Ovis aries: one gene and its partner. The protein of the gene in region 2 purifies or fractionates together with the protein of the main gene of each other region. This does not show direct contact. Links are inferred from orthologs where the notes say so. Each region holds a gene or a part of one and is shown on either strand. Other genes may lie near its edges. The genes, in order: CBX5 and ZNF462.

Region 1 (16,176 bases), on a different chromosome or scaffold from region 2:
TCTGTACTTACAAATGAACAATGATTAAGATTAAGAAGGGATTCAAAGAACTACCATAAGATAGCAAATTTCTTTCAGAGATCACATACTATAATCCCCATGAACTGGGGAAGAGGTCCTGATCTGTGCCTGTCCCCTCCTGATGGAGATAGGTCATTAGCTTTATAGAGTAAACTGGAGAGGGATTAAAAAAAAAAAAATTCTGTAGGGGATTATTCAAACTTGGTCAAATTGCAATCATGCAATCTAGATAAGGAGCATAGGATTTGATTCCGTTTCGATGGCACTGGTGAGAGCAAAATGGTGAAATTTTATACAAACCAGGTAATTTAAACAACCTTACTATGGAAGATAATGCCAGCTTATCTAATGGTAACACAAAAAAGACTTAGACTGTCCAAATGAACTAAATCGCCAATGTCTGATTTTCATGCTAAAATCTCTGATCTGCCTTTCACCTTGCTTTCTTCTGAGAGATACAAAGCCTTCAGCATCCAGGTGGTCCCAAAGATACCAGGACCCGCACGGAGCAGGAAACCCCATGCATGAATCAGGGGACATACAGGCTCAAAAGCATAGCCTCTTTTGGGGGCGCTTAAAGGGAGGAGGGTCCCAGATGTGCACACAGCTGCTCACAGCTGGAATGCTGGCACAGCAACCAAGTCGTAAATCATAGCTGGCGGCTGAAAACAGTTTGCCACATAGGGAGGGAAGAGAAGAAAAATGTTCAAGCAGCTGAAAAGGAGCCGAGGCGAGGAAAATGCTAAAATCATCACACAGGCAGTAATCTTAAATCAGGCATAATGCCGACTAACAAATTTCCTCTGCAGTGGTCTAAAGAAAGAAACGAAATCCCCCCCTGCACCTTTAAAATATACAATCACCTATCTTACCAGCTGCCTACATGACAGCCATCAGCACTGCTGAGAATGCTGCCAGGGGCCCCAGATGAACATTACAATGTAAGGGACATGTGTGTGTGGGGGTGGTTTTCAAGGTCAGCAGCATCAAAAGGCCAGCATCCTGGCCTAGGAACCAAACTCTGCACTGGCCAGTGTCTCAAAGTCAGATTGCTCCTCCCCCCCCCCCACCCCCAGACTGCTCCTTTTTAAAAGGACATAAACGTTAGGTTGAGGAAATACACACTGAATGTCAAAAACGGCTACAGAAGTCATGCTGTGTTGTTTCTTGGTCTCTTTACTTAGCTGGAAAATGCATCAAATGACAAGAACCAGAATACAAAGGACTAATAAAAAAGTAAAACAGAAAGACAGACCCAAGTCTTAGCTCCTTAGAGAAGGGAAGGCATTTTCAAATTATCTACTAGTATGCTATATCATAATGATATACACACCTCACCAGAACAGGGGAGTTTTAAAAAATAAGATTGCAAAAAATAAAATTAATCAGGGAAACAAACAAAATACTAGCGTCCACTTTCACTGACAGCCTCCAATCTTTCATTCTTATTTCAATTCTTTTTGGAAAGTTGTTCTCCCATTTTCTCTCCTCTGGAGACCAGGAATCACCTGTGTAAGTCTCTAGAAAATACTAACGCATAGGTCCAACCCACAGAAATTTGAATTTTATTGGTCTGGAGTGCATCTTGGGCACCGGAGGCTTCTTTTTCCACAGCAATACTGGAGGCTTTTGAAACACCCGCCTGCCCCCCTTGCCATGAGTCTAATATGCAGCCAGGGCTGAGAACTAATGCTCTAGCAAGACGGGTATCCAAGGAGAATGAAGATAAATATGGATGCTTATGGCAGGGATGCTAGAAGATTCAGAAGCAGACTTACACTTTTATTTTATTAAACTTTAAGGGTATGATATATCCTTCACCACAAAAGACTTCACAACCTTGAAATTAATGAAAGGAATGGAAGCTGTGGGGGGTGATGGAGACACATGTGCACACATGGAAAAGATATAGACAAGAAAAAAAAAAGACAGGAACAGTGCTTATGGCTAGTTACTTAACAGCTATATATCAGAAGGATTAAAATAACTGAATCAAACCAAAGTTTCATAAACACATTTTCAAAAACTGAACAATAAAAATATTCATAAGGAAGATGAAAAGTAATTTATTTGAAGAATGCAAAAATACAATAGGATCAAGAGAGACTACACATGCCACTGAGCTGTTCACTTTAAGATGGTTAACTGGGGACTTCCCTGACAGTCCAGTGGTGAAGACTACGCACTTCCCATGCAGGGGCATGGGTTTGAGTCTGGTCAGGGAATTAAGATCCTACATGTGTTGGTGTGGCCATAAATAAATAATTAAAAAAAAAAATAAAATGGTTAGTTGTATGTTATGTGTTTTCACCTGGTTAAAAAAGAAAGAATATAAAGGGTTAAAGTTAAGTGCTCTCTTTGGAATAAAAGAAAAAAGTGAAGTAGTAGATATTTTAAAGCTTCTTTCTATCCCTAAAAAATTCACTGAAGACTCTCCATAAGACAACTCAGCCACCTATTCACAAAAAAGGCACTGAGTGGCTGAATGTTTTACAGGGATTTAATTTTGCCACCTTGACACAATTCAGTGGACACATAGTACATTTCTTACTCAGCCAGGAGGGGGCGCTGTAGTGGATCAACAAAACTCCCCGGGGAGCTCCTGTGTTCAACAATTTACCGTATAGGCCATCCCTAGAATAAAAACAACCAAAACAGTGCCCCTCTTTTTTGGGTGAAGCGAGGAGGAAGCACAGGAAGCAGAAGAGTGGGGGGTGGGGGGGAAGGAGAGGAGAAATGAAGCTTACCTCTCTCTTTTTTTTGGACTTAATATCATCAGCACTGTTTGAGAAATTGGATTTCCTCTTGTTACTTTCTGATTTCTCCCTGGGTTTGTTATTTTCACCCTCCTTCATCTTCTTATACTTTTTCATAAACTCAGAAATTAGCTCAGGGCAATCCAAGTTTTTCTCAGGTTCCCAAGTATTGTGCTCCCTGGGCAAGAATGGAGAAAAAAGGAAAGAAATGAAGAAGTTTTGGGGTAGGAGGAAATCCAATACCTTACTTTACAGAAGACAAATAGGCAAAAAGGGAATAGAATTCCTATGCTTAAAGGAGATAATCAATTTGATTCTAGAATCTATCCAATATATTGAGACACACACACACAAAAAAACTTGCACACAACTATAGCAGCATTTTAGGAGTCAAAGACAGAAAACAATTCAAATGCCTGCCAATAGGCGAACAGATAAACATAACATGGTATATCCATACAATGAAATACTATTCAGCAACAAAAAAGGGACGTAATACTAATATATGCTACAACACGGAAGCACTTCTAGACTGTGCTAAGCTAAAATAAACAGGTGCTGATCAGTCGTTCCTTGTGGCTGGGGCTTGCAATTAAATACAAAAATGTCCAAGGGAATTTGGGGAGGTTACGGAAATGTTCTGAAACTGGACTATGCTGAAGGCGGCACAGCTCTAAAAATTTACCACAAATCACTGAATTGTGTACTTTCAGTAAATGAATTTTATGGTATGTAAACTATGGCTCAATAAACCTGTTAAACACTCAAATATAAGTTCTGCTTTGTAAGTGGCAAATGTGATTTCATACATCATCTTTGCAAATCCTGGAGAGAGGACAATCTAATTCTAAATGCATTCCAGTTTACACTGTCTTAATTATGTTACTTATATTTCCAAGAAATGCCAGCAAATTGATGGAAGACTTCAGTAGTTAATTAGAAAAAAAGGCAGTAAGGGGTTAAATCATTAGAATATAAGCGAACCATAAAAAGGAAAAGACTCAAAACTGGGATTTGGAGCCCATTCATTCATTGCTCTGGATTCAGGTCTACTGTCACTAGGTAATCAAAATGCATTTCTATATTAATAAGCAAAAATAATTCAAGTTAAATAACTGTGTCTAATTAAACTCGGATCAAGGGGAGTCCTTCTATGAGGAAAATAAAGTTTGCATTCACAAACTTGTTCTCTGTATTTCTAGCATGGATTTTAGAAGTGCAAATCACTAATACCAAGAGCAGGTTATGTAATAAAAGCAAGAAATTTATCTTCTTTGGGAAAAACCAGACCAGGCATCCTCTTCACTCCTAGCCAGTGGCAGAGGTTCTTTCATTAAGAACTAGCTACATTAAGATATATCTGTACACATATCACAGACACAGTTTCTATAATCCCTTCACTGACTTAGGAAATATTTTTTACATTTATGCACTATTTATTTTAGATACTTCATTAAAAAACAAAAACGATGTAGTATCTTTAAATAAGAATGGTTTGAACACATGCTATAACTTAATAATGATGGAAAAATCTGAGCTATTTACTCTAGACTTCAGCTTTCTGCAAAAAGAGCTTAAGAATGAAACAAAGTTTATTTCTAAATCATTTGAGCTAAAACTGGAAAGCCTCTCCCTCACAGCTCTTCTTTCAGCCAAAAAAAAAAAAATCCTCATACAATAACTTTCTCCCAAATTCACAGATTATATATAGTTTACTATCCCAGGAGAAATTAAGGCACAAAAACCAAGAGGCATGCCAACACTGTAGTACAGTAAGCAAGCTAAGATGCAGAGGTAGGAGAAGAATCTCTGTTGCCACCAAGGAAAGCCAATCTTCTAAGGGGATTATCCCTTTCCCCACCAGGTTAGTATTGTTTCTACATCAATCAGTTTTCACCCAAAAGATAACATGGTATAACTTACAAAGAATCTGCATTTAGTTTTATTTATTTTTAAGAATCTGCATTTTAGCACCAAAGAAATGTGATGCTGGATCCTTGTTTTAGCATGTATCAGGTATGTTATCTCTAGTAAACAATTTCCTCATCTGTAAATACCTCTAAAGGCTGTTATGAGAATTACAGAGAACACATGAGGTAGGATATAACCACTGCCTAGCAAACAGTAGGTACTCAGTTGTGGACAGTGTTGAAGGGGCACAATCTGTCTCAGTCTTTAATGAAACTCTGGATACTTTTGAAAAACTCAGGACAAATGTTAATCCATCTACCCTAAATCTTTTCTTTACCTCTTTTATCTATGTAAGGTATCAATAGCTCAACTACACAGTCTTCAAATTCTTCAAAAATACCCAACAATTTCCAGTGATGATTCAATGGGTCAAATAAACATTCTTAAAGTCTTCAGGTGTACTTTTGTTTTTTAAAGATTTATTTTATTTTTGGCTGTGGTGGATCTTCTCTGTTACACTCAGGCTCTCTCTAGCAGCAGCAAGCAGGGGCTACTCTTCGTTGCGGTCTGCAGGTCTCTCATTGCGTTGGCTTCTCCTGCTGCAGAGCACAGGCTCTAAACCGCTGGCTCAGTAGCTGGGGTACCCAGGGCTTAGTTGCTCCGAAGCACGTGGGATCTTTCTGGACCAGGGATCACACCAGTGCCCCCTCCACTGCAAGGCAGATTCTCAACCCCTGGACCACCAGGGAAGCCCCCTTCCTGAAGGTGTATTTTAATTCCTATCTCATGATGCTCTAGGCCTCTCAAATCCGTAGTGCTCAACTCTAGAGGATGCTGCGATACCATGCTTCTTTAGAAACATGGAGGGCACATTCTGACTGCTGTGCTACCCACATTTAGTTCTCTCTGTGCTACAAATGCTAAGCATCCTGCAGTGCATGAACTGTCCCAACTAAAACACCAACAATGCTCCAGATGAGAAACTTGATTCCCACAATAACCTTAACTATACTCCAAAGGCTCCTGATCATACCTTTGTCCAAAGGGACTGACAAAGCATTCAATCTTTTATTAAAGTCTCACACTTTTAAGTTGCGATGTTTAATACGGTAACTACTAGCCACATATGGTAAATGAACATTTGAAATGTGGCTAGCATGAACTGAGATGTGCTACAAAATGAAAAATATACAACAGATTTTAAATTCTTAGCATGAAAATATAAAATTTCATTAATAATTTTTGTATTAATTTTGAAATAGCATTTTGGTGGGAGTGTCTAATAAAATATATTATTAAAATTAATTCCACTTTTCCTTAATATAGTCACCATAAAATTTAAAATTACATCTGGCTTGCATTCCATTCCTATTGAATACTCCTAGGAGCCTAAACCAGTTCCTATCAGCTCACTGGTGTTCACAGAAATCCATTCTTTGTTATCAGGCATCCTGGGAAGAGAATTAATGAGAAATTAAGGCAAAATGCCTAATGATTACACAGCTTCATGCAATTCACTTTTCAAGCTACCTCTTCTATGCTTCAGTATGTGTATATTTACTTCAGCACTTAAAGCCAGTTACTGCCTAACTCTGAATACTCAACACTTCAGTATCATTCTTAAAGCTCACTGACGTAAAAGAGGGGTTTTAAGGTCTTTAATAGTAAAAAAGACAGATTGAGGAATAAAGATTATATTAAAATGTTATTGTAGAAATGAGGTGGTATGTATTTGAGTGTTCACTCAATTTCTTTTGCGTCAGTTATATATATATATTTTACATTTTTAAAAATAAATATTGGGTCTCAGATTTAAGTCTCTTATTATCTTATTAGGATGAGTGTTACAAAAAAATAACAAAGATGAGTGTTTCATCCTAGGACACTTTTGAGGGCCAAGGGTCGTTATGGAGCGCTATGGGATCAACTACAACTTCTACTTAAATGTATGTATTTTAGTTTCGTTACATCCAAAATAACAACAACAGTTTACACGTACACTGACCTTATGTGTCTGACTCTATACATCTCCCCAACATCTCTACGATATATACTATTTCTTATCCCTATTTTATTGAGGAAGAAAGATTAAGGAACTTCAGCAAGGTCACCCAGCTCATACTGTAAGTGGTGGGAGCAAGAATCTGGACGCAGGCAATCTGGCCCCTAATCTATGCTTCTAACCAGTTCATTACACTGCCTCTCAAAAGCAGTCTCATTAGAACATCAGCTCCAAGAAGGGGAGACTTTGCTTAGTTCACTGCTGTGTCTTGCGACTCTTAGAAAGGAGTGCAGGCGAGGAAAGAATATGACAAAGATGGTGATGGTTCACAGGGAAATGAACCAAAGCTGTCTACTTCCCTGAGTCCCAAAGCATGAGAGAAAGTACTTACTCAGAAAAGCCTTTCCACTTCAGTAGATATTCCACTTGTCCCTTAACCACACGCCTGTCTAGCACCTTCTCCACAACGTACTCCTCCTCATCTTCTGAAGAACTGTCAGCTGTCCGTTTGGTTTTCTTTCCCATGTCTCACGCTGATTCACCTGAAGGACTAAGGCCACCGGGTTCCTGCAAATGGGAAGGACAAAAATGGTCAGAATCCATGCAAGCAGTTAAAATGTTCAGTCTCTCAATGGGATGCAGCAGGTATAACACAAAGCTGCCATGTACCTTTCTCTTGGGTCTTGAAACATTCTACAGATGAGTCCTAAGAAGGTAACCAAAAATGGGCAGGTCCCCACTTTCTTAATTACAACTTCCTCTTCAGCTCACAAGATCAAAATTATTAGATGGGCACAATTATCTAACTCTAATTTCAGAGTCTATAAAACAAGTAGGGTGGTATTTTACTCCTGGTACCTCTACGACTGTCTACAAGTCATAAACTGGAACAGAAACATGGAAAACCTTCCATTTAAATAAGATTTTCTATAAAAATGAGAAAAAAAAGAAAAGCCAGCAAAATCTAACTTTCTTCTGCTCTGAGCATCCTGAACAGTCTCTTAACAGGACAAAAAAGGCCTGCTCGGGCATGTTTCACCACATTTTCAGTGACTCGGTACATTTCCCTTCAACAAACTGAGCTTGTCCCTTCAGAGCACCCATCAGCTCACAAAAGCAAGGCTGACACCTCAAATATATTAAGCCTCATCTTTCATTTGGGGATCGGAGGGAGGCATGGAGGAGAAAAATATTTTTTAGTCCTAAAAATCAAAACTAGTCATTGGGCTGTTCGGTAATTCTTAAGGCTCAACTAATCCAAATATTAAGGAGGTACCTCTCCTCTTAACTGGAGCTGACTTTGGGCCAAAGGAAGAGGAGGAGGAAAACAAGAGGTCTGGTCCCAGACTCACAGCAACATGAAGCCTCCAAACACAGAAGAACCATTCATAGGCCCAAGGAAAGCTGAAGCAAGGCAACACAAATGGAAATTGAGTTAAGCTCAGAAACATGCACAACCAGGGGGTATGCAGCAGAGACTCTAGTGTTTTAAATTCCCTCCTTGTTGTCAGCACAATCATTTTTAAGAATTCTTCCTTAACCATGTTAAATGGTGCCTAGAGTCTGGATTATAGAGTAGCAGGGATTGTTTTCTTAGCTGAACTCCATTTTATTTTGCTGTAAACCTTAAAGCTTTTTTTCAGCATTCTAAAAACATTTTCTTTCTGATCAGATGACCACCCCAGGAACAGGAAAGGTCACTACTAATCTCAGAATTTTGTCTTTGAGTACCATAAAAAGTTGCATTAATCAATTTACTTCAAACTAGCAAAATTTAGGGAATTATTCCAAGAATATATAGTTGTAAATCATACCTCCAGAACTTACTAGCAATAGGTCTGCCCACCCAAAAAACTGTCTGTATGTTTTTAGCAAAATACTTCATTTGGATGAGGGAGTGGGAGTGTGGGGAACGTAAGGTAAGGAGTTTCAAAATAATTTTTCCACGAATTCAGACGGGAGTCCTTTAGCTTCAAGGAAAAAAAAAAATCTGATTTATTTAAAATAAAAGCAGCCTCCAACCTCACCAGAGACAGGAAATGTCCTATTCCAGGGAGAATACCCCACCCCACCCCCACTCACCTTGGAATTTCCGGGAGCTGAGCAGTTTAGGTCAGAGCGCCAGGGTTAAAACCAGCCCCGGGTTAGATGCATGCAGTTAAGCATTGTGACTATGGCCTCCCCTGCCTCACGAGGAAAAACAAGGATTTACATATGTGTTCTTCAGTTTCAGGGAGGAAAGAGGACAATCTCCCTTTATACCTTCATGCAGAAGAGGAGCCCCAAAGGCAGAAGATGAATGGGGGTTCCCTCCTTTACCTACCGGATCGCCCCAGTTCTTTCTTTCCCTCTGGGCTAACAGGAGGGGCCTCCCCTCCCAGGTCTGGGGCTTGGCGGGCTGGCAGCTCCCCCGCCCCCACCCAGCTGCCTAGGCGCCACTGCGCAGCTGTCCCAGTCCGTTGCCATGGCAACTGGCAGCCTTACTAGACTAAGGGGGGGAGAGAAGCAAACGGAAAAGTTAAAAGGCTTAACTTTCCTTTTCAGAGAAGGCTGGGTGGAGAAGTTGGAAGGTACCTCCCTTGGCCTCAAGTCTAAGGCATTCAGAGCTCCAGGGAATTGGCTCTTGGGTTTTTAAATCCAGAACTTGTGCTTATTTCTCTAAGAGCACTGGGAATTTAATCAATAGCATTTTAAGATATAACAGGATTATCGCTCAACTGGAAGCGGGGGCGGGGAAAGGCTAGATCCTTCTACAACAAGATCAGGACAAACTACCGACCCCCTAATCCAGCCCACCAGGAACACTTTAGGCGAGGTCTTTTCTACCATCTGTCACTGAACAGTTAATTAAAATTGGGAGGCGGGGGAGGTGCAGGGAGTAACAGGAAAGGGAGAAGTATTTCAAAGATACTATACAACTTTCCTTCTTGGGGGATTACTAGATTCAGAAACAGAATCTAGAGACTTGAAGCACTACCGAAGACTCTTTCAACTGAAATTATAGATAGAAAACAATTTAATTCTCCAGTAGTTTTAAAAAAGGGAAGGAACAGTCCACTCACAACCATTACTGTTAATTGAAAACCACTTCTCATTAGTTGTTTTTGTAATATTATAAAAAAAATTTTTAAAATAATTACCCACTTGGAACATTAATTATATAATATAATAATTAAAACCTCGTGTATTAAAAATTCCTAATACTTGAGAAAAGGAGGACTGAGATAAAGAAAAGAGACTTAAGAGACTTGCAGTCCTGTGAATGTTCCTTTCTGCCGGCCTTAACATTTTAGAGAGCTCCACAACTCTGCTCTCTTCTTTACAGATATGAGTCTTTTAGAGACAAAGGCTGCTGCCACAAGAGAGTATGAATAAGGGACAATCAAAAGCCAAGAACCCGACTGAGGGGAAAAAAAAAAAAAAAAAAGAATGGTGATTATTCTGCCTATCAAACAGAAGAAACTGTAGGGAATGAGAGCACAATGGGCAGTTTTCAACTACGAGAATTTCTTCAACTTTGAATAGACTCATCAGGAAATCTGAGTAAAATCTGCCTTTCTCAACTCTTCGTAACTTTTAAAAACTTTTTGTAGTTAAGGGATATGAAAATAATGCCAAAGGAATTAGATCAGAGTTGTGATTCTGTGATTAACTTGCCATGTGTGATCCTGAGTAAAGAAATTTTAGGTCTAACCTCAGAATCACTAAAGGGGGCCAAATAAATCCCCACTGCCTACCTCCAAGGGAAAGGGTGAGTTTATGTTGAAACCAGAGGCTGTTAAGTCCCCCAAGAGAAGCTTTTATAAAATATTACAGGGCCTAATACAACAGCAGCAGGAAATACGTGACCTTCCAAATTCCTAAGCCATTAAGCCATATTACATGCAGTAACTCCTGCAGTTCCACATGTTAGAGAGCAAGAAAGGGGGAACCTTGTCTTTGTTAACCTGCTGCTAGTAAACCAATACACTTTCAGAGAAAAGGCAGGTAACCTTTTCTCTCAAGGGCAAAATTCTTACTCCTTAAAACTCAGGAAAACATTGGAGACTGCAGAATGAAAAAACAGGTTCTGTGAAGGGATAAGGGACAGGAAAGAATGACAGCAATACTAAGATTTTAGTGAAACCTTTCAGGGAAAATAAGGGAATCCAACGAGGAAAGGGACAAAAACATTCTGGTGTTCCATCTTTCTCCTTAAAACATCAGGAAATGAAGAACCAGATCAATTCCCTCTGTCCCACTCTTAAGAACTGGCTTAAAAGGCACATGGCTAAGATCCTTTTCTCTTTGGGAAATGGGTTTTGCAACAGCTGACAAATCAAATTGGGCCTGATGCCAGGAGTCAGAGTCCAACCATAATATTCTGTAAAGAATGGCATGCAATTGTCTTGTAAATCTCCTGGACAGTCACAGATCAGAAGCTAGCAAGGATGACGACATAGTTCTGATGGAATGTGTCTTATCTTAACCTTGAAGTTACAGATCTGCTCAGGAGCAGCAGTAAGAAATGAGAAATGCACTCAGACATCGGAGGGGACATAATTCTCTTTTAGACAGTGCGACCCAGTGTATTAGGGTCAAATGAAACACAAAGCCAGACGGACAATTTAAGGGCTAGAGCCTGGACCAGATAAAGCATCTAGACTGGTGGTTCACGCTGAGCTTGGGAGGAGGGAGTGTTCCAGCGTGAGAAATGAGACATGGCTGGCAGGATGATGGAGAGATTAAGGTAGAATCCCAATACCATGCCGGAGGAAGAGACGCCGAGCCTCTTGAGCACAACCTTATTATCCTTATGGAAATCTCCATGGGAAGCGGTGAGCTTCTCAAGTCCCGTCTTTCAGACATAACAGATCTCAGCCTTTTCTTGAACACACACAGGAACTCTCTGGTAAAGGCATCAACAACTACTGACAGAGTCCAGCAATTTAACTGCCCATCAGATCACGAAAGAGAGCAGGCCCCACCCACCCTTCATATCAATGACACAAGGCAAATTCACCTTGCAGGCAGGCCCCTGTGTGCTGGGGGAAAACACCTAAGCCAGGGAATCTGGTGAGAATTCAGCCTTGGACAAACATCAAAGACCTTTGCGGTCAGGCAGTCAGAATGCACATTCCAAGTCGATGACAGGAAACTTCTTTAACAGATGAAATCTTCCAGAAAAAAAAAAAAAAAGAGAAAACGGGAAGAGGTGAGGAGGTGAAGCAGAGCGGGACCCAAAAATCCCACACATTGTAAGGGTAAAAGAAGATTTCAAAAAAAGTAAAAACTGCCAGTCCCCAGAAATTAGAGAGGGCATCACAGAAAGCTGGGGCAACGCAGAAGAACAACAGATGTCATGATTAACTGTTTGCATTAACAGATCAATACTGGAAGCAGAGAACCACTCACATGAGATCGTTGGTTTGTGTACTCTGCCCAATCCCTCCATTCACTACTTTTCAATGTCAGTTGTCCTGATGGCTTTTGCATTTTCACGACAACTGACAAGCAAAAGCATATATATACACACACATACACATATGTGTATATACATATATGTATACACAGTGTATATGTATATATATTTATGTGTGTGTGTGTGTATATATGTATATATATAAAAAATAGGACATCCCTGGTGGTGCAGTGGGTAAGAATCCACCTGCTAATGTAGGGGACACAGGTTGGATCCCTGGTCCAGGAAGATTCCACAGGCCGCAGAGCAACTACGCCCACGCACCACAGCACTGAGCCCACACTTTAAAGCCCGGAAGCCACAAGTAACAACTATTGAGCCTGTGCACCTAGAGTCTGTGCTCCTCCACAAGAGAAACCACTGCAATGAGAAGGCCACGCACCACAAAGAAGGGAAGCCCCCACTGACCACAACCAGAGAAAGCCTGTGTGCAGCAGTGAAGACCCAGGGCAGCCAACACACACACACATACACATATATAATAATTCTAAGTCTTTCTCTAAGCTTTCTTTGTATTGTTTAAAAAGTAACAAAAGCAATTGCTAAGTTGCCTCACTGAACTACCTGCTGAACTATCTGGCAGTGGTAGTCAAACCAAGTGTCAAAATGCATTAATCAATGAGCTCTTTTATACAATTTTAACATAAATTTTATAAGCACACTAGGAACGCAAATCTTCTATAAAAAAAAGTCATTCTAAAGAGCAGAAAAGGGTGAGGGCATATGCAAAGGTCCCTCTCACATGTATTAATTAAATATGCCACTGATGGGCAACTTCCGTTGGTCCAGGCTTGAGAAACTCCCAAGTCTCCCCTAAGGCCCTTGGGGAAAGCTGTTGGCTTATGTGAAGATTAAACTGTCAGCTACAGCGTTGTCTTCAAGGCGTCCTCTTTATAGCCTATGGTAGCAAATAAAACAGATGAAAAGAAACCAAATTTACAGAACCATTTTAATCTGGTCTGTATTCTTTGCTCTTTATAGATCTAGAAGTACCAATGGTTTTAGGTTTGCCACACATACAGCATAAAACTAAAATACCCTCTATAAAGATGTTTTCTTCCACTAGATTTATGATTTCCGAAGTATTAGCCATGTGGCATCTTAACAAAAACACAGCATAGAGATGCACATTACAGCTGTCCTGGCTGTCTCAGGTTTTGTTAAATGGGCTGATAACTATCACTTCACCTCCACCAAAAGCCCATGAGCACCCAATTCAAGAGGAGTTAAAAGCTTTTTAAATGTCTATTTAAGAGACTGGATTAGGAAAGAGTTGAGGAGGAAGATTAACTGTGGTCGTTAACACCCCTATCATTAACAAGCCACATCTAGGCAACACAAACTTTATTAATAGAGAGGAGTGTGGAGAGAGGAAATGCTTCTCTCTGGACCAGCGGAGTTCCAGTTCTCCATCCTTTAAAAATCAGGCCAAGGCGCTGCTTCCACCAGTCACAGAATTATTCTGAGGCAAAGTATCCTATTTGCTGATTATCTAACCCTCCTGTACCAGCAAGCAAGGGAGTAAAGAGTCTTTTCTTCTTTTAGATTAAAACATATACATTATAAATAGAGATAAAGGCTACCCTATACATTTCATTGTATTGTCCTCTAAGCTCTGACCCCATTAAAAAATATAAATGAATGTGTACTACAGCAGTTCTCAGAACAACTCAGTTTTATGTTTGGTTCATTGGTATATTTAGCAGTAACACACACATTCTTGATATCTCATTACCAGATCACAATCCCACAAAATAATCTTACATGGGATTTTTTTTTTTCCTATATTCAAATCTACAGTGTTTCATCTCTCAAGTGTCTGCTTTCTCTAAATTTAGTTAGGGCACACCTAAAGCCATCATGGGCAAGAGGTTAGCTATTCAATTGTTTCTCGATTCAAGAGAAAGTAGAATTTGGTACCACTAAGGGGAAATGTCTTCCAGATGGTGCCTCTGAACACCTCTATCCTTGGAATGTACTGAATTTCTCAAAGCACCATAGTTTCTGGCGAGTGTTAATCTCACACCCACTCCTCTCTATTAATTAAATATGATGAAGCATGAACTAGTAGAGCTTGTCACCTTTCATGAGGAACCTGGCAATTTCTCCATAAATTTTAAGAAAAATGGATAAGAGTACCATTTGAGTAGATGACTGCAAACCTCAGATTTTTACATACCACTTTGGCAAATCATGTTCACAAAATATGGAGGGGTTAAAAGAGAACTGAAGTACCCATCCCCAATTAAATTACAGTCATAAAGCATTTCTCAAATAGTCATAAACTTAAGATTCACACTTATCTAGCTTGTACAGATTTTGATTATCAGCAGCTTAAGAGTTACAATGGCTTCTTCAGGTCATTTCAACATATCCTCTATTTGAAGTCTGGAGAAAGAAATGGCAACCCACTCCAGTACTCTTGCCTGGAAAATCCCATGGACTGAGAAGCCTGGTAGGCTACAGTCCGTGGGGTCGCAAAGAGTCGGACACGACTGAGGGACTTCAAATCACTTCACTTCACTTCTATTTGAAGGAAGAGCTTCTACCATGCCTAACAATTTACATTCTACCACAGTCTTAGTTTAGCAAAGACATTCAAGAGTCATAAAAATTAATTTGCATAACCATAAACTAAAATCTCTAATGCAACTATTGAGATGGTATTAGACTTTAAATCAGTATGCTAAAATCTGATTAACACATCCTGACAAAAAGTTTTTACATAATTGGAATAAGAAAGATATCTCAGACTGTAAAACTTCCAGGAGTAAAAGAGAGCATTCCTTCAACATATGGCATAGTTTTGTGCTCTGCCATTACCTTGGTGTATTAGCAACATGAATTATATTGAAGTCACAGGCTACAATTTAGATAAATAAAATCAACCCAGTATTGAACTTTTTCCCATCTCATACTTGGCAGCTCCTTGGCCATCTATTAAGATCCTGACCAATTTCTCTGTGGCAATTTAAAAGCTGTAAAAAAATACATAATGGGTGATGACAGGAGAAACAAACCCACACCAGAAATTATTGAACCTTATACATCTTTGCAAGTGTCTCTATTGACATATAAGTGTGAGTTACTACGCTACAATATCATAAAAGTGTGCTCTACACTTTAGATATATTGATAGTTAAATGCAAAGAAAGGCCACCATCAGATAAATGGCTTAAGGGATGGCCAATCTCAGACCACCCAGCTCTTCCACTGAGCATTCTGACACATTGCTTAAGCCAAATAAGATGTTTCTTTTTGTCCAGCTTCCAACCATCATCCCAACTCAGAGCCTATGCCAAAAGGATGATACAGTAATACTGACCCTTGCTCTAAAATTGTCTGGTTGGTTATATATTTATTGAGAGCCAATAAGTGTCAAATGTTGCATGAACACTGAGTTTAAGCCCGTCTTCAACTTATGAACTAAGTTGAAGTATCACCAAGTCTCTCCCTGGTTCAGTCAGCAATGGCTAGCACCATCCCAAACGCTGTTGTGGAAAAAAAAAAAAAGCTACTAAAAGGGCAACCAGTTAACAGCCGCCGTATCAGAACTAGGAATAAGATAGGAGTCCAATCCCAACTAGATCACTGAAAAGTTGAACTAGACAGGTCACTTAACCTAAGGTGTTAGCACTTTGCCCTGCTTATCTCACAGGTCTGCTGTGGGGGAATAAAAAAATTAGAAAACACTTTTAAATACATAAACCAGAGAAGTTAAATGTCTGATAATAGATGAAATTAAAAATACACTTCTGTCTTCTGGAAGAGTTTGTGTAGAATTGATGTTATTTCTTCCATAGAAGTTGGGAAAATTCACCTGTGAAGCCATTTGGACCAAGAGTTTTTCTCTGTGGGAGGACTTTTAACTACAAATTCAATTTCCTTAATACACATAGGGATAGTGAGGTTAATTTCTGAAGTGGGCTTTGGTAATCTTTCAAGGAAGCCATTCATTTTATCCTAGACATTAAATGCACTGGCATAATTGTTCATAATTCTCCCTTATAACTCTTACAGTGTTT
Region 2 (15,699 bases):
GAAGGGTGAGCAGAGAATGGGGGAGATAATCAAGCTCGAAATGTTTAATTGACTTATTGAGCTCTCTGGCAAGCTAAGTCACTAGGAAGCCTGGAGCGGTTTGGCTGGCAGCGAAGAAGTGCATGTGGGCACCAGTGATGAGAGGCCTCCTGGGGGAAGGGAAATCAAAACATATCCTTACCCTCTCTTGTTTGAAATCTGCAAAAGCACCATCTGCATATTTCTGCTTGCTCAAAAGCTGTTTCCTCCTCTCCTGACGTTTGGCACGCTTCTGGAATTCCTCATTGTGAATGTTCAAGTGCGAGGTCAGCTCGGCGGTGCTCTGCAGTTTGCTCTCGCAGTGCTTGCACTGGTAGGCGGAGCCCTGCAGCCGGGGGCCGCCGGCCAGGATGACGAAGTCCCTCTTGAGGTCCCGGCTGTGGTGGTCCGTGTAGTGCATGCTCAGCAGCTCAGCCGTGCTAAAGGACAGCTTGAAGCACTTGATGCAGCGGAACGGGAGCCACTCGATGTCCTGCCCTTCGTTTCCCTCCACCTCGGCTTTCTCGAAGCCACCTCTCTCTTCCGAATCTTCCAGCAGCATCGGCTTCTCGTGCTCGTCGGCGTAGACCGCGGTGAAGTAGCCCCCCAGCTTGCTGGCGTGCTGCTTCTTGGGAAAGACCCCCGGGTGGCGCTTCATGTAATGGGACACGATGCCCTTCTTGCTGAAGGACTGGAAGGCGCACAGGGAGCACTTCTTCTTCTCCACGGCGCGCCGCAGCTCTTCACTGAGTGGCGGGGAGTCATCCTTGGGTGGCGACGGGATGATCACCTTGTTGGGCTTGTCGCTGATGGTTCTGGAGGCCGCCAGGCAATGGGTGTAGTAGGCGTCGATGTCGTGGCGCTTCTGGTAGTGGGCAGCCAGCCCTTTGCGGATGGGGTTGGTGTAGGCACACAGGGCGCACTTGAAGAGGTTGTTCTTGCCCTCGGGCTGGGCGCGCACATTGTTGTGCTTGATACGGTAGTGCCGGGCGATGCCCTTCCGCGTGGAGCAGAAATACTTGCAGAGCTGGCAGCGGAACACAGTGTGGGACACGAGGTGCGAGGTAGCGAAGTGAGACGTGGACACGGGCTCCTCTCCCACCTCGTCCTCCATCACCGAGACCTGGGAGGGGCTCACTTCAGTGGTTATCTCGGGCTCGAGGGACATGGGCAGCTTCGGGGGCGACTGGGAAAAGACATCGAACTCCGGCTGGTTGTGGTACTTCTCATAGTGGATTTTGAGCTTCTCCAAAGTGCCGTGTGTGTAGGGACACAGTTTGCAGCGGTAGGCGCCGTACCCTTGCTTGAAGATCCTGCTCGTCTCCTCTACGTCGTTCTGGGCTATGTCGGTGGACTGCTCCACGTCGTGCACGAAGTCCTCTGCGGTCACCTTGATGGACGGATGTCGCTTCTGGTAGTGGGTCAGGACCCCGTGGATGCGGGTGTTGATATAAGGGCAGTGCCTGCATTTGTAGACAGCGCCGGGGTTGATATCGATGTCCTGGGCAAAGTCGGCAGCCTTCACCTTCATGCCTGGGTGCTTCTTCCCATAGTGGGTCAGAAGGCCGTGCAGGTTGTTATATTCAGACTGACACACTGTACACTGGTATGGGGTGGAGGAGATGGCGGGGTTCGCTGAGGCAAGCTGGATCGTCTTCTCAGGGGAAAGCCTGGCATCCTCGGGGCATTCAGCTTCCTGCTCAGGGAGCGGGCCGGGCATACTGTTTTCACAACTCACAGGGCCCACCAGGTCTTCAGAGGAAGACATGGGATTCTCCACGGCATCTTTCTCCTTGATGATATCCAGCAGCACCGACTCATCCCCGTTCATGGCCCAAGGGTGGAATGCTTGGTAATGATTGGTGATGTCCCAGATGGAGAGGGCTTCGAAAACACAGTCTCTGCATCTGTATGTTTTGGCTTCAGCTGGCATAGTAAGAGAGGGAGGGGACGGGTCTGGCCCTGCCCAGAGCTTGGTGGCCATGTAGGTATAATCCACGTAATGCTCGGGGTGCCTCCTTTGGTAATGCAGGAGCAAGCCACTTGGCTCTGTGTGGGAATAGATGCACCACTCGCAGTGGTAGCCAGCTTCTATCAAGCCATCTAGAAATGCCCATCGCATGATGGACGTGACCGTGGCCTTCAGGGCAGGGTGGTCTTTCTTGATATGCTTCCTTAGGGCATAAAAGTAAGGGGAGGTGTACGAGCACTGCCTACACTTGAGCGCTCGCAGTTTTGTTTTGTCCCGCTCCACACCCGAGGGGGAGATAAGCATGCAGCTGGCAGGCTTCTTCTGGTTGCGGTCGCAGAGGCTTCGGATGGTGGCTGTGTGCTGCCGGATCACATCCGCGTTGGCCTTGAAGTCTCGGTGCTTCTTCTGATAATGAATGAGGACACCTTTGACCGTCCGGTTCCCATAATCACAGTGCTGGCAAAAAAACATCTCATTTTCCACGGGAGGGCCATCTCTCTCGGAGCTGCTCCGGTTGAGCTGTTGCATAGGGGCGGGTGGCCGGGGGGAGCCATGGGGCCCCTCCGGCCCTCTCATCATTGCAGCTGTGGGAGGAGCCTGTCTGATATATTTGGCAGTAACCTTTATTTCTGGGTGTCTTTTCTGGTAGTGGACAAGGACTCCCACAACTGACCGATTGCTGTAGGAACAGTGTTTGCAGTAGTAAAGCTCAGTACTGAGGTCTGGTGGCGGGGGTTGTGGGGGGGGTGGGGAACCCATGGTGGACATTTTGGGAGACATTGGAGCACCCACCTCAAATGATAACTGAGAAAGGGCAGAGCCCCTGTCCACAGACACCATTCGCATGGTTTTCTGGATCCTAAAGTAGGAAGCCTTTTCTTCTGGGTGTTTCTTCTGATAATGAACCAACACAGAGTGCATGTTGGGGCTCGCGAAGGAGCAAACGTCACAGTCGTACACGACAACGGTGTTGACCGAGGGGTCCTTCTGATTTTCACATTCTGGAGGAAAGGTCTTGGAAGGAGTGTTTTTGGGGAACGGAGCTGGCATACCGCCACCACGGGCCACGGGAGTGGACGTGGCCATGTTCTTCGGAGCCGAATTCAGGATCTCCCGCAGCGTCTGGGATTCTGTGCCTAGCCCCTCCTGCTGCTCCACCACGTAGCTCGAAAATATCATGGCATTGTTAATCTTCACGGTGGGATGCATTCTTTGGTAATGTGGCATCAGGCTTCGGACGTTCGGGCTTGTGTAGGAACAAAACCGACACCGGTAGATCAGGTCCGAGTGGTCAAAGTTGAGGACATTCATGGCTTCTGGGTGGTGTTCGCCGTAATGCTGCTGCAGGTCTTCAAAGTTGGTGTAATCGATGTAGCATTCCAGGCACCGGTACACTGCACTGTGATCATTGGGGTCCAAGATGTACCTGAAGCTGAACTTAATGTATGGGTGCATGCGCTGGTAGTGGGTGCTGACACTCCGGGCAGATTTGTTGTTAAAGTCACAGTGTTTGCAATAATAAAGCCTTCCCGAGTCACTGAAGTCAGTATTTTCATTATTGTGCTCAGTTGCGTAGATCGGAGTCTGGGTGTTGAGCAGAGTCGTATTGGAAACCTGGTGATCTTTCATGTTGGTGGAGGAGCCGTAATAATCCTCTTCATCTTCCGAAAGGGTGAGCTCTATTTCAGCCCCATTGGTGGCATTGTAGTCATGAGCAACAGTTCTGAAGTTGGGCTCCTTCGGGGGCTCAGGGGCATCTCTCGCCCAGATCTGCTGGGCAGAAAAGGGCGTGGGCACCTCCAGGACGGGCTCCGGTGGGTCTTCCTCCCTGTCCAGCTCCACCTCGATCTCCACTTCATTGTCCTCCTCTTCCTCCTCATCATCTTCCACGTTGATCACCGCATCTTCCTGCTGTTTTGTTTGGTTAATTTTGCTCTGCAGGTTGCTTGCTATCTCGTCAATTCTGGTCCTCTTCTTCACGGGCGATAAGTCGAGTGGAAAGTCGTTAGCGAGCTTCCTAGAGGCCTTGGCGACAAAATTGTTCTTGGAGGACAACCCAAGAATTGAGGTCTGACTTTTCTTCACAGTGTTGCTGGAAGAGGGGTGGCTGTCTGTCTCGCTGTCCAATGGCAGGCTTGAGGTCTGCCCCTCAAATTTTGGCAAGTTGTCGCAGAAAGAGTGTTTGTGCTGCTGATGAACTCGCAGCCCTTTCAGAGTCGTGGTGGAGTAATTACACATGGTGCACTTGTAGGGGTGCAGGGGTGGGGCTTGCGCGGGCGGCGGGGGAGGCGGCGGGGGCAGCTGGGGCTGGGGTGGCACCTGATGGGGCGACTGTAGCTGCGGCGGCTGCGGCTGTGACGGAGGTGGTGGTGGCGGTGGAGGCGGAGGCGGGGGCGGCTGTTGCTGCTGCAAGGGATCCAACAGGACCCCCGACTTTCTGCCATTGATGCTTGAGCTCTCGTAAGACACGACACCTTCATTCAGCGAGGAGGAAATGCTTTCACTCTGGGAATTCACAGCATCCCAATCTGATGTGGTACCCGTGTGACACTGTTTGTGAGCCCCAAGTTTTAACGAGCTCTTGCAAGTAAACGGACACTCATCACATTTGTAGACGGCTGTCTTTCCAGATAAGTGGATGTTTTCTATGTGACGGGAAATACTACGTCGATGCATGGTGAGGAAAGGACAAAAGGGGCACTGGAACCTATTCATGAATCTTCTAAATGGGATCCCCTTGGTCTCCAATAATTTGTTGCCATCTGAGCCCATCAGCTGTTCTGCAGACATGCCTACTGTCTGGTGATCCATAGCATTTAAGCCATTTTCACTGTCTATCTCATTTAACTCTTCATCAGAACTGGAGTCATTCAGCATGCTGTTAGTTTCCAGGTCAGCAGAAGAATTGGTCATCTCGGGCATTCCGTAACGGGATCTCTCCGCCAAGTTAACGAGGCCAGAATTGTGAGGTGACTTCGGCTTCATCTGAGAGTAAGACATGGGCGAAAACTTGGAAGTGGAAGAAGAGTTGGGTCTCATGATGGAGTTGCCGATAGAGCCCCTGAAGTTGGAGACGTTAGTGTTGGGTAACTCCCGGCTGGCAGCATTCATGGACAAATAGGTGGAGTTAGAAGTGGGGCTGAGGTCATTCTTGTTCTGCGCCTCAGGCACATTTGTCCCTTCTTGCTGCTGCCTGAGACTGGACAGGATCTTGACCATGCTGCGGTGCTTCTTCATCATGTGGTCACACCAGCGTTCTCGGCGGGGAGTCTGATAGCTGCACCACTCGCAGCAAAAGTTGCCTCGAGACTTGGTCAGTGGCTTGACCATTGATTCTAAGATGCTGCGCTCCACAACCTCTGCTGGCAGTTCCTTGCAGGGGTCCTGCAGGGACATGGGTGGGACCACCGGGTCTGGCATTGGAGCGGGGGCAGGGGGGGGAGCAGTGGTCTCCTTCAAATTGTTTTTGTGATACATCTTCTGATGCTTAATTATTCTTGCCCTCCTTGGTGACTTGTATGTGCAAAACTGGCAAGAGAAGACCTTTCCAAATCCCTCATGCATCATGATATTATAATTTAAGGATCCTGGAATAGGGGGTCCGGCTGAACTCCCTTCAGCTTGAGCTCCGTGGACCTTCCTAGTGTGTTCAATGAGGAGGTTTTTTGACCTGAAGTAGCGTACACAGAACTTGCATTGAAAAAACTTGTTTGTTGGTTTGGGATTAGGGGCAATATGCTGACTGTAATATCCTGGACTATGGCCATAGTAACTTCCAGTCCCCAGTGCGGCTGCATTTTGACCTAAAGAGAAAGCATAAGGTAAGTGGGAAGAGAAGAGCAAAGCAAAAGCAAATCAAGAAACTCAATCATGCAAATCCAGTTTGCTTTTCAATTATTCCTCATTAATAAACATCACATTCAAAAGGCCTAACATCTCAAGATGAGGCCCTGAAGAGTAGTAACGGTGTTAATGAACATCCACATGTTGCCTCTCATGGATGGAAGGCAGTGCTCGGCTTCAGGTGCAAGACTCCCCCCATCTCTATGCGCCACAGAGCTGTGCAAGTTTCACAAACTGCGATATTCATTCTAGAACTTTCCAAGATACTACCTTATGCTCCAAGTTGAAAGGAAGCGAAGTGACATAAGGAAGCTGAAAGGACTATTGCCTGGGCTACTCAATAAGAGAAACATGATGCCCAAATCACAAACATGGCTCACAAAGGGGGACTCCAGGGCTTAGGACTCTATACTTTCCCTGCCATGGCCCAGGTTCAATCTCCGGTCAGGGAACCAAGATCCCTCAAGTTGTATGGTGCAGTGAAAGAGAAAAGAAAAATGGCTCACAAGGAGCGAGAAACTTTGTAGGAGCTGTGCATGTCAAGAACCATGGCTACAGCTGCCTCAGTAGGGTACACAGCCTTTGCCTATACAGGTTGCTCTAAGGAACTTGAGGACAGTCCCCTCCAGGGGACATTCCTGACTGGCATGCCAACCCCAAGCCAGGCTCCAGACAGGGTATGTGCTGGGACTTTAGAAAGCCCCAAGACACAGTGGCCGGGGTTCACATTGGCCAAGTCATAATATCCATTCATATCAAGTTGTAGAACAAGGAGTATGTGACTGAGGCCCTCCACAGGGCCAAGTTCAAGTTCCCAGGCCACTAGAAGAGCCACTCCTCCAGGAAGTGGGGATTTACTAAGTTTCCTGCAGACGAATCTGGAAATATGGTGCAGAAAAGTGGCTCATCCCAGATGGTGGTGGGGTCAAATACACCCCTTATGGTGGCCCTCTGGACAAATGGCGGGCTCTGCACTCGTTAGAGTCTTGATGCTATCGCCTCCTTACTCATGCCCACCAGTAAACCCTACTTTCCTGTCAAAACATTTTAAAAAAGAACTACAGCTATAGGCTCAAAATAGATGAGGGTAGTGAAATACACCAGACGCATCAATCCTAGGACAGATTTACCTGTTAAGTCCTCTCCAATTGCAAATTCATCCTTTATAGATGAAAACTCCACCTCTGTCTGGTTACTGGCATTCATGGACCCAGATCGTGACTCATTCGCATTGTCTTCAGCAACGTCCGTCGGCTGCAGAAATGCCGTATGGACATCCTGGATGTGCGCCTTGAGATCTTCATAAGATGGGGCTCTGAAGTCACAGCCATCACACTGAAGCACCTCCATCATCTGGGTCTACTCTCTCACATTAGGAACCTGGGGCAGAAGGCAGAACAAAACGTCTTAAGGCCTGCACTCATTGCATACCCCCAAGCTGGTGGGGCTATGAGTCCACTAATGGAGGAATTCCAGTATCAGCCAATTTCTCTCACTGGACTTTGCCAGATGCAACAGTGGTCAAAGAAAGGAAATCAGACATAATAGGAATGGTGTCCTTGACATCATAACTTCAAAGAAAGGAGGAAAAAAAAAAAGATAAACTTTTTCTAGCTTCATATATCTTCAAATGCCATTTGTCACAAAAACCCTTAATACTTCAAAAGTTGTCGTAGTTTCTCAATGTCTTGACTGATTTCAGATTTCTTGGTAAGTTAATACTGACTTTGATTCTGGCTGAGACCTATTTTCTTTTTGAACCGGAATCTTCTCAGAAGTAAAGAGACTGCCCATATAGAAGAAAGAGTAAACTTCAATCTTCATTAGCAGTTTTAATACAAGAACATCAATGTTTTACCAGCAAATGGTGAAACAGTGTGGAACCTCAGAGTAGCAGTGGAAAAAGCTTTTACTATACTTTTCATTCTTCTACTATCTTAACTGATATTAAGATACACCTCCTTCTTCCTTCCCTTTCCTACACAGGGTTTTTTTTTTCTCTTTTTTTTCATGAGCTAAATGGTTATTTGCTTTTTACTACCTACCAATTATAACCTAACAGCTTCTCCAATCTAATTAGGTCATAAAATATTTCTCATGAGATTCTCAAACAACCAACTCTAGATGACAATCCAGTTTCTAGTTTCAAGTTGCACCTTGGTCCCTCAATTCACACTAAGGCAACAGAAACACATGTGGTTTGGAAGAAGGGCTTTTAAGGCAGGACCTCCTCTTTTTCCACTTTTCCCCTTTATGAATGTGAAGTACATACTTGGGCATAAAAAGCTGGGAAGCTGATTTCGAATAAGGCAAAACTTGCCCTGGCCACTTCTGCCCTGCTATTTACTGTGTGACTGAAAGATACACATAGCTTCCCATAAACTCAATGGAGAGACTCACCATTAAGAAGTTAAAAATGTATTAGAAGGCATGCCCTTCCTATCTTCATGTATATCCTGAATTGAGATACCCAGTTCTTATCCTAATGACGGAGTTACTTCACTGAGCTCATGGCAGACTCTACGAAGCCAATGAAATCTAGAACCAGATGTCCAAGCACAAAAGCCACAGCCAAACCTTTCACTACTTTGGTCGTATTTAGCACCTTCCTATACTTTTATTGTAAAAGATCAATTATTTCTGCAAGAGGAATAAAGTTGAGGAATCTGTCAATGTAGTGAAAGGCGCTATGACAGGAGGATTTTCTCTGAAAGAATGCTCCTGCTGATAGCCTGTGAAAATAACTCCTGGCAAGTCCAGCTCTGGACAGCCTGAGCTCGTAGGGCGAGAGGCACTTATCTACCCTCTCTCCTTTCACCCAGCAGTTTCTCCTTTTTCAATAAACCCTGAACTGTGCACCAGACTTCTTTTCAGCTAACTCAGCCTCCATGTTCCGGGCCACACCAGCTTTTTTCTGTCTCAGCACCAACCCAAATTGTGTGGAAGAGGTTGCTATCAGCTCTGGATCAAATTACAGCCGACACGGACGCCCCACCCCACTTCTCCTTTTCGCAGAGCCCATTAGACCTGAAAACAAATTTTTCCATAGTGCAGACGACTCCTGCATTTAGAACACTTCACAGCAAAAAGGCGGATCATCCAGGGTGCGCTCCCCATCCCCCCAGCTTAGTCCTTTCATCTCAGCCAAACAAGCCACAGCTCTGCTGAATGTGTTTATCACACTTTCAAGAGATAGGAGCTCCTGCGTCACTGAAGCTCTAAGACTCACTAAGCTGCCCTAGTCCTCTGAGCTTTAGGAGCGGCCATTTTAGCTCAGAGCTTCCCCTCCGAGCACAACATGGCTTCTCTGGGATGGATGCTGCCAGGCTGACAGGCAGAGGAAACAGGAGAGGAGCAGTCTGGGCCCCTCCTCTGCCCTCCTCCTCTCAACAAAGAAGGAACTGTTTTCACTCCTTCCCGAAAAAGCAGCACCTTTCTCCTCCTCACATGTCATTCACCAAGGATCTCCCGAAGGTTCTTTTATCCCATGATTGATGGGCTGGTACGTTCATCCCAGCACAGCCCTGGTTACTGCAGGACGTTCCTGGACATGACCCTGTTCTCCAGCAGCCTTTGGGGGTGTGCTGGAGGGGGGGAACCTCCAGAATGCCTTGGCTTCTTGGGAGTCGTCCTTCCACACACAGAAGACATACCATCCGACTCTGCTTGCCGGATTCCAAAGTCTAATGACCTTTGTTAATCACCAGCCAGTCTGTCTGCATCAGCAGACCCTGCCAACAGGCACACCCTTCAACACAAAGGCTGTAGCTATTCCTTTTAAAAGAGGTTCTCTGAAAGCTCCATTGTGTAGCCGGGAGGAAAACAAAATCTCTTCCCTTCAAAACTTCAAGCCTTTAGACATAATGTAACAGAAGGCTTTCTGCTGTGTGTCTTTTGGAAAGTTTGAGCCTCATTCTCACTACATCCACCAAAAAAATGACAGTTCTGCTCAAGGAAAGCAGGACACCTTTGGCATTAAGTCCTCCACCCAGAGATGAAACTCATCTCTCCACATGGGTCTCTAATATCTTGGTGTCTTCCAAAGCTGTTATCAAGGATTCAGACTTCACTGGATGCAAACAGAAATCAACAGCCTTCTTGTTCTGCTACAAAGGAGATTAAAGGGTTAGGAGATCAGGAAAAAAAAAAAGGCCCTGATTTGGAAAAAGAAGAGATGATGAAAGCGATTTCCTAATGGGTTCTAGCTTTAATGTTGTTGCAGACTCTACCTCAAAAATAGTGCAGAGCCTTGGAAGAGGTTAATCTCCAGGCTGCCAAGAGAACCAGCGTCAGGTACGGCTGAACGGCCTTCAATTTGATGTCCTGAAATGAGGATGTAGCCTCCTCTGAAAGGCATTTTGTCTTTGTGCACATATTGCTCCTGGAGACGTTGACAGAAGAAGAAAACAGAAATTGCCAGCATGGCCTCAACAATCAAAGACACAGAGACTTGATGTGTTTATGAGACTGAGGACGGACACATGGGCAAGAAGTGAGAGGAGGAGGAGGAAAGCTGGACCTGAGGATGACCCATTCATCAACCCAAGGATGTTTTTGCAGCAGATGGTAATCCTCTGAGAAGCCAACAACAAAGATGGGAACAAAGATGAGAAATACGCTCCTGCATATTTGACTGTTTCATCAACCCAGAAAGAACAGCAACCCTAAAAGGCTAAACCAGACACTGATAGCTACCAAATGATGATTTAAAGTTAACAGCCTTGATCTCCTATCTACTTTATTTAAAAATACAGCTGCGATAGTGAGATTATTAGTAATATTTTTTTTCCCACTGACCAAATCAGCAAAATCAAAAGCAGAGAAAGCTTCTGAACTAACTAGAAAGAAATGCTATTTCAAAAGGTCATGAGATAAATCTACAAATCAAACAAGCACCCCCCACCCCCATCTCCTAATCCCAACACAATATCTCCAGACAATTCAAGGTCAAACAGGCATCGGAAGACTAGACTCTCAACACCATCCAAGATGATGCCGTGGCAGGCAGATGAATATGGGTTTGTTCCTAAATAAGCTAACACCTAATGTGATTAGTCCTCCTAACGTGAAACCTCTCAGTTCAGTCAGTCAGTTCAGTCACTCAGTCGTGTCCGACTCTTTGCGACCCCATGAATCGCAGCGCGCCAGGCCTTCCTGTCCATCACCAACTCCCAGAGTTCACTCAAACTCAGGTCTATAAAGTCGGTGATGTCATCCAGCCATCTCATCCTCTGTCGTCCCCTTCTCCTCCTGCCCCCAATCCCTCCCAGCATCAGAGTCTCTTCCAATGAGTCAACTCTTCGCATCAGGTGGCCTAAGTACTGGAGTTTCAGCTTTAGTATCAGTCCTTCCAAAGAACACCCAGGACTGATCTCCCTTAGAATGGACTGGCTGGATCTCCTTGCAGTCTGAGGGACTCGCAAGAGTCTTCTCTAAAACCGCAGTTCAAAAGCATCAATTCTTCGGCACTCAGCTTTCTTCACAGTCCAACTCTCACAACCATACATGACTACTGGAAAAACCATAGCTTTGACTAGACGGACCTTTGTTGGCAAAGTAATGTCTCTGCTTTTGAATATGCTATCTGGGTTGGTCACAACTTTTCTTCCAAGGAGTAAGCGTCTTTTAATTTCATGGCTGCAGTCACCATCTGCAGTGATTTTGGAGCCCCCAAAAATAAAGTCTGACACTGTTTCCACTGTTTCCCCATCTATTTCCCATGAAGTGATAGGACCAGATGCCATGATCTTAGTTTTCTGAATGTTGAGCTTTAAGCCAACTTTCTCACTCTCCTCTTTCACTTTCATCAAGAGGCTTTTTAAGGTCCTCTTCACTTTCTGCCATAAGGGTGGTGTCATCTGCATATCTGAGGTTATTGAAATTTCTCCCGGCAATCTTGATTCCAGCTTGTGCTTCTTCCAGCCCAGCGTTTCTCATGATGTACTCTGCATATAAGTTAAATAAGCAGGGTGACAATATACAGCCTTGACGGACTCCTTTTCCTATTTGGAACCAGTCTGTTGTTCCATGTCCAGTTCTAACTGCTGCTTCCTAACCTGCATACAAATTTCTCAAGAGGCAGGTCAGGTGGTCTGGTATTCCCATCTCTCTCAGAATTTTCCACAGTTTATTGTAATCCACACAGTCAAAGGCTTTGGCATAGTCAATAAAGCAGAAATAGATGTTTTCTGGAACTCTCTTGCTTTTTCCATGATCCAGCGGATGTTGGCAATTTGATCTCTGGTTCCTCTGCCTTTTCTAAAACTAGCTTGAACATCTGGAAGTTCACGGTTTACATATTGCTGAAGTCGGGCTTGAAGAATTTTGAGCATTACTTTACTAGTGTGTGAGATGAGTGCAGTTGTGCAGTAGTTTGAGCATTCTTTGGCACTGCCTTTCTTTGGAATTGGAATGAAAACTGACCTTTTCCAGTCCTGTGGCCACTGCTGAGTTTTCCAAATTTGCTGGCATATTGAGTGCAGCACTTTCACAGCATCATCTTTCAGGATTTGAAATAGCTCAACTGGAATTCCATCACCTCCACTAGCTTTGTTTGTAGTGATGCTTTCTAAGGCCCACTTGACTTCACACTCCAGGATGTCTGGCTCTAGATGAGTGATCACACCATCGTGATTATCTTGGTCATGAAGATCTTTTTTGTACAGTTATTCTGTGTATTCTTGTCACCTCTTCTTAATATCTTCTGCTTCTGTTAGGTCCATCCATACCATTTCTGTCCTTTATCGAGCCCATCTTTGCATGAAATGTTCCCTTGGTATCTCTAATTTTCTTGAAGACATCTCTGCTGCTGCTGCTGCTGCTGCTAAGTCGCTTCAGTCGTGTCCAACTCTTTGCGACCCCATAGACGGCAGCCCACCAGGCTCCCTCGTCCCTGGGATTCTCCAGGCAAGAACACTGGAGTGGGTTGTTGTTTCCTTCTCCAATGAATGAAAGTGAAAAGTGAAAGGGAAGTTGCTCAGTCGTGTCCGACTCTTAGTGACCCCATGGACTACAGCCTACCAGGCTCCTCCATCTATGGGATTTTCCAGGCAAGAGTACTGGAGTGGGGTGCCACTACCTTCTCCTTTCCCATTCTGCTGTTTTCCTCTATTTCTTTGCATTGATCGCTGAGGAAGGCTTTTTCATCTCTTCTTGCTATTCTTTGGAACTCTGCATTCAGATCCTTATATCTTTCCTCTTCTTTGCTTTTCGCTTCTCTTCTTTTCACAGCTATTTGTAAGGCCTTCCTAGACAGCCATTTTGCTTTTTTGCATTTCTTTTCCATGGGGATGGTCTTGATCCCTGTCTCCTGTACAATGTTACGAACCTCTGTTCATAGTTCATCAGGTACTCTTATCTATCAGATCTAGGCCCTTAAATCTATTTCTCACTTCCACTGTATAATCATAAGGGATTTGATTTAGGTCATACCTGAATGATCTAGGCTCTTAGACTATTCCAACTTTCCATGACTCTGCAGTACTACTGATTACCACTGGTTGGTTTGTTCACTTTACATTTATAGGCTGGGTGTTTCACGCGGTGGGGTTTTGATGGAAAACCCAAAACCCAACTTTCATGTTGCATAAACTCTTGAAGACATTTTTAAGGAAAATCCAGAGATCTTGTGAACGGTTGGGAATATACACTTGAGAACAGGGAAATGGAAAGAATGGCCACTGGCTGCTCTTTCTCAATCTTAAAAACAGCAATTGTCAATTTATTTACCAAACAAACTGACTCAAAGACATAGTAAATAAAGTTATGGTTACCAAAAGGGAAAGGGGAATGGGGGGAAGGATAAATTAGGAGTTTGAGATTAGCAAATTACTATATATGAAATAACAAGGTCCTACTGTACAGCACAAGGAAATATGTTCAATATCTTATAATAAACTCTAACGGAAAAGAATCTGAAAAGGAATATATTATACATATATATGTATAACTGAATCACTTTCTGTATATCAGAAAGTAACACAACATTGTAAATCAACTATACTTCAATTCTTTAAAATCACCAATTTTAATTTCTACCATCTGCCCACCATGTTCTGTGTTTAGAATTTCCAGGGGCCCATTATGCCTCTGTTTTCCTCCTGTGAAAGTGAAAGGTTACATTCCAGGGGTTCATGCTGTGTCTTCCCCACTCACTGCCCAGACCCAACAGGAGAAGGGAGGCACCCTGGGTTGCTGGAGGCTGTTTCCACAATCCTGCCACCACCAACCTGCACCCAGGTCAGCCTGGGGAGCACTGTTCTCCAAGCTTGCATGCAGCATGAGTATTTTCAATCAAAATCCCAACTGTCTCCAGGAAGTGTCCACATGAAAACGTGCAGGCCTTGTCTGGACCTACACTGTTCCCTGACTGAAGGACTGCAGACCAGAAATAAAGCCGTGAAGCACTGCAGCCACAGGGATTCAGGAGCAACTAATTATATGCTTCAAAGCCTTTGAGAAATAGAACCAGAAACACCGTAAGATGCCTTTCCTCTGTCCACTCCAGAAACCCAGTTTCATTTATAAGACACTGAACTTCCCAGTTCTCCTGAATCATAACTCTGAGAAAAGGCTTTAGTGACCACCTGTTGTCTGTGCTTTTACTTTCTCCTTTTCTATGAATGGAAAAACCAATTACCCAAGGTCAGGTAGTGGAATGCATAAACTGTGGAACTGTTCAGCTGGAAAGACAGAAAAATCAGAAACTTAAAAGATCATGCTACAATGCAAATGTATTTGAGATCAGAAACTGTTGCTATGATGAGGTCAAAGAGCTGCGGGATGTTTTGGGAGGTTAGCACCTTTCATGTCAAGCCCCAGGAACGTGATTTGGGAAGAAAGAAGAATTTTCATGCTTAGGCTGAAAAATGAGGGGAAAAAAATCATGAATCCACTTGCATGTGTGGGTTGCTACTTTCAGCAACAAGGTGTGTTGTGTATCACTACTTATCATTTACTCTTGTCATAGTCCAAGTGGCAGTGCTAATAACTTAAAAATCATTTAAAGCATCTTTCCAACCAGGAGTGTTCCAAGAAATGGAGGTAAAACCTCCTTTCGGGAAAAGGAACAGTTGTTATAGAATCATACTTACAAATGTAAATACATAATATGCATACACACACACACACACACACACACCCCAGAGCCCATGCATGCCCATATACACACACATGTATCATAGGGTGCTTATTCTCTATACATACATATATACATATGTGTATGTAGATATAAAATAACTTTCTTGATTTAATTTGAACTCAGACATGGGCATGTGCCCTCCAAATTTAGCAGGAGTTCTGTTATAACACTTCGGAATAATTACCAATGACATACATATTCTTCCTATGGTATAGTGATTTAACAAAATAATAAGCCAGCAAAATAAACCAACAAAGAACTTTCAACAAGCTACCTCCATCAATCCCACATTTGGTACAACTATAGATCCTGGCTCACCATGTGGTGTCTTCAAATGTCCTATCCAATGTTTACACTGCTTGCTACATGATCTAAGCAGTTCTGTGTACTCTTGGCAATTCACCACACTAATGAAAGGTTTAACATATCAGGAAGGATAAATAATTAAGGAATTCAGAAGGGAGACACAGCTGTTCCTCAAAACCAAATTTTCAGAAGAGAAAGGATTAATTTGCAATCACATATGTAACCCTCAAGATGAGACAGAATTTAAATAGCAGCAAAGAAATACCAGGTGACCCTGAGTGCTGCCAATGCCCATGGATGGCCTCTGTTTCATGTGGTTGGCCTGGTATATCTCCAGGACAGAGTCTGAAGCAGACAGTCTGCAGGTTAATAACCCCAGCCCCCTTCCCACCAAGGATGCTAGTCTTCAGGTTCTCTCTTA

The links.
Region 1: the proteins of ZNF462 (region 2) and CBX5 purify together in Homo sapiens (affinity purification with mass spectrometry; 3 studies listed by BioGRID and IntAct, counting the BioPlex papers as one, with this or other methods). This does not show direct contact. The link is inferred for Ovis aries from reciprocal best matches to the Homo sapiens genes ZNF462 and CBX5.

What each region holds. Positions count from the first base shown.
Region 1 is NC_056056.1:132,277,538-132,293,713, reverse strand, and holds the start of CBX5 (chromobox protein homolog 5), read right to left. Parts: upstream 7,216-16,176; coding exon 7,082-7,215; intron 2,956-7,081; coding exon 2,769-2,955; intron 1-2,768. UniProt on the Homo sapiens protein: Component of heterochromatin that recognizes and binds histone H3 tails methylated at 'Lys-9' (H3K9me), leading to epigenetic repression. In contrast, it is excluded from chromatin when 'Tyr-41' of histone H3 is phosphorylated (H3Y41ph).
Region 2 is NC_056055.1:16,188,247-16,203,945, forward strand, and holds part of ZNF462 (zinc finger protein 462), read right to left. Parts: intron 7,214-15,699; 5' UTR 7,187-7,213; coding exon 6,964-7,186; intron 5,794-6,963; coding exon 182-5,793; intron 1-181. UniProt on the Homo sapiens protein: Zinc finger nuclear factor involved in transcription by regulating chromatin structure and organization. Involved in the pluripotency and differentiation of embryonic stem cells by regulating SOX2, POU5F1/OCT4, and NANOG.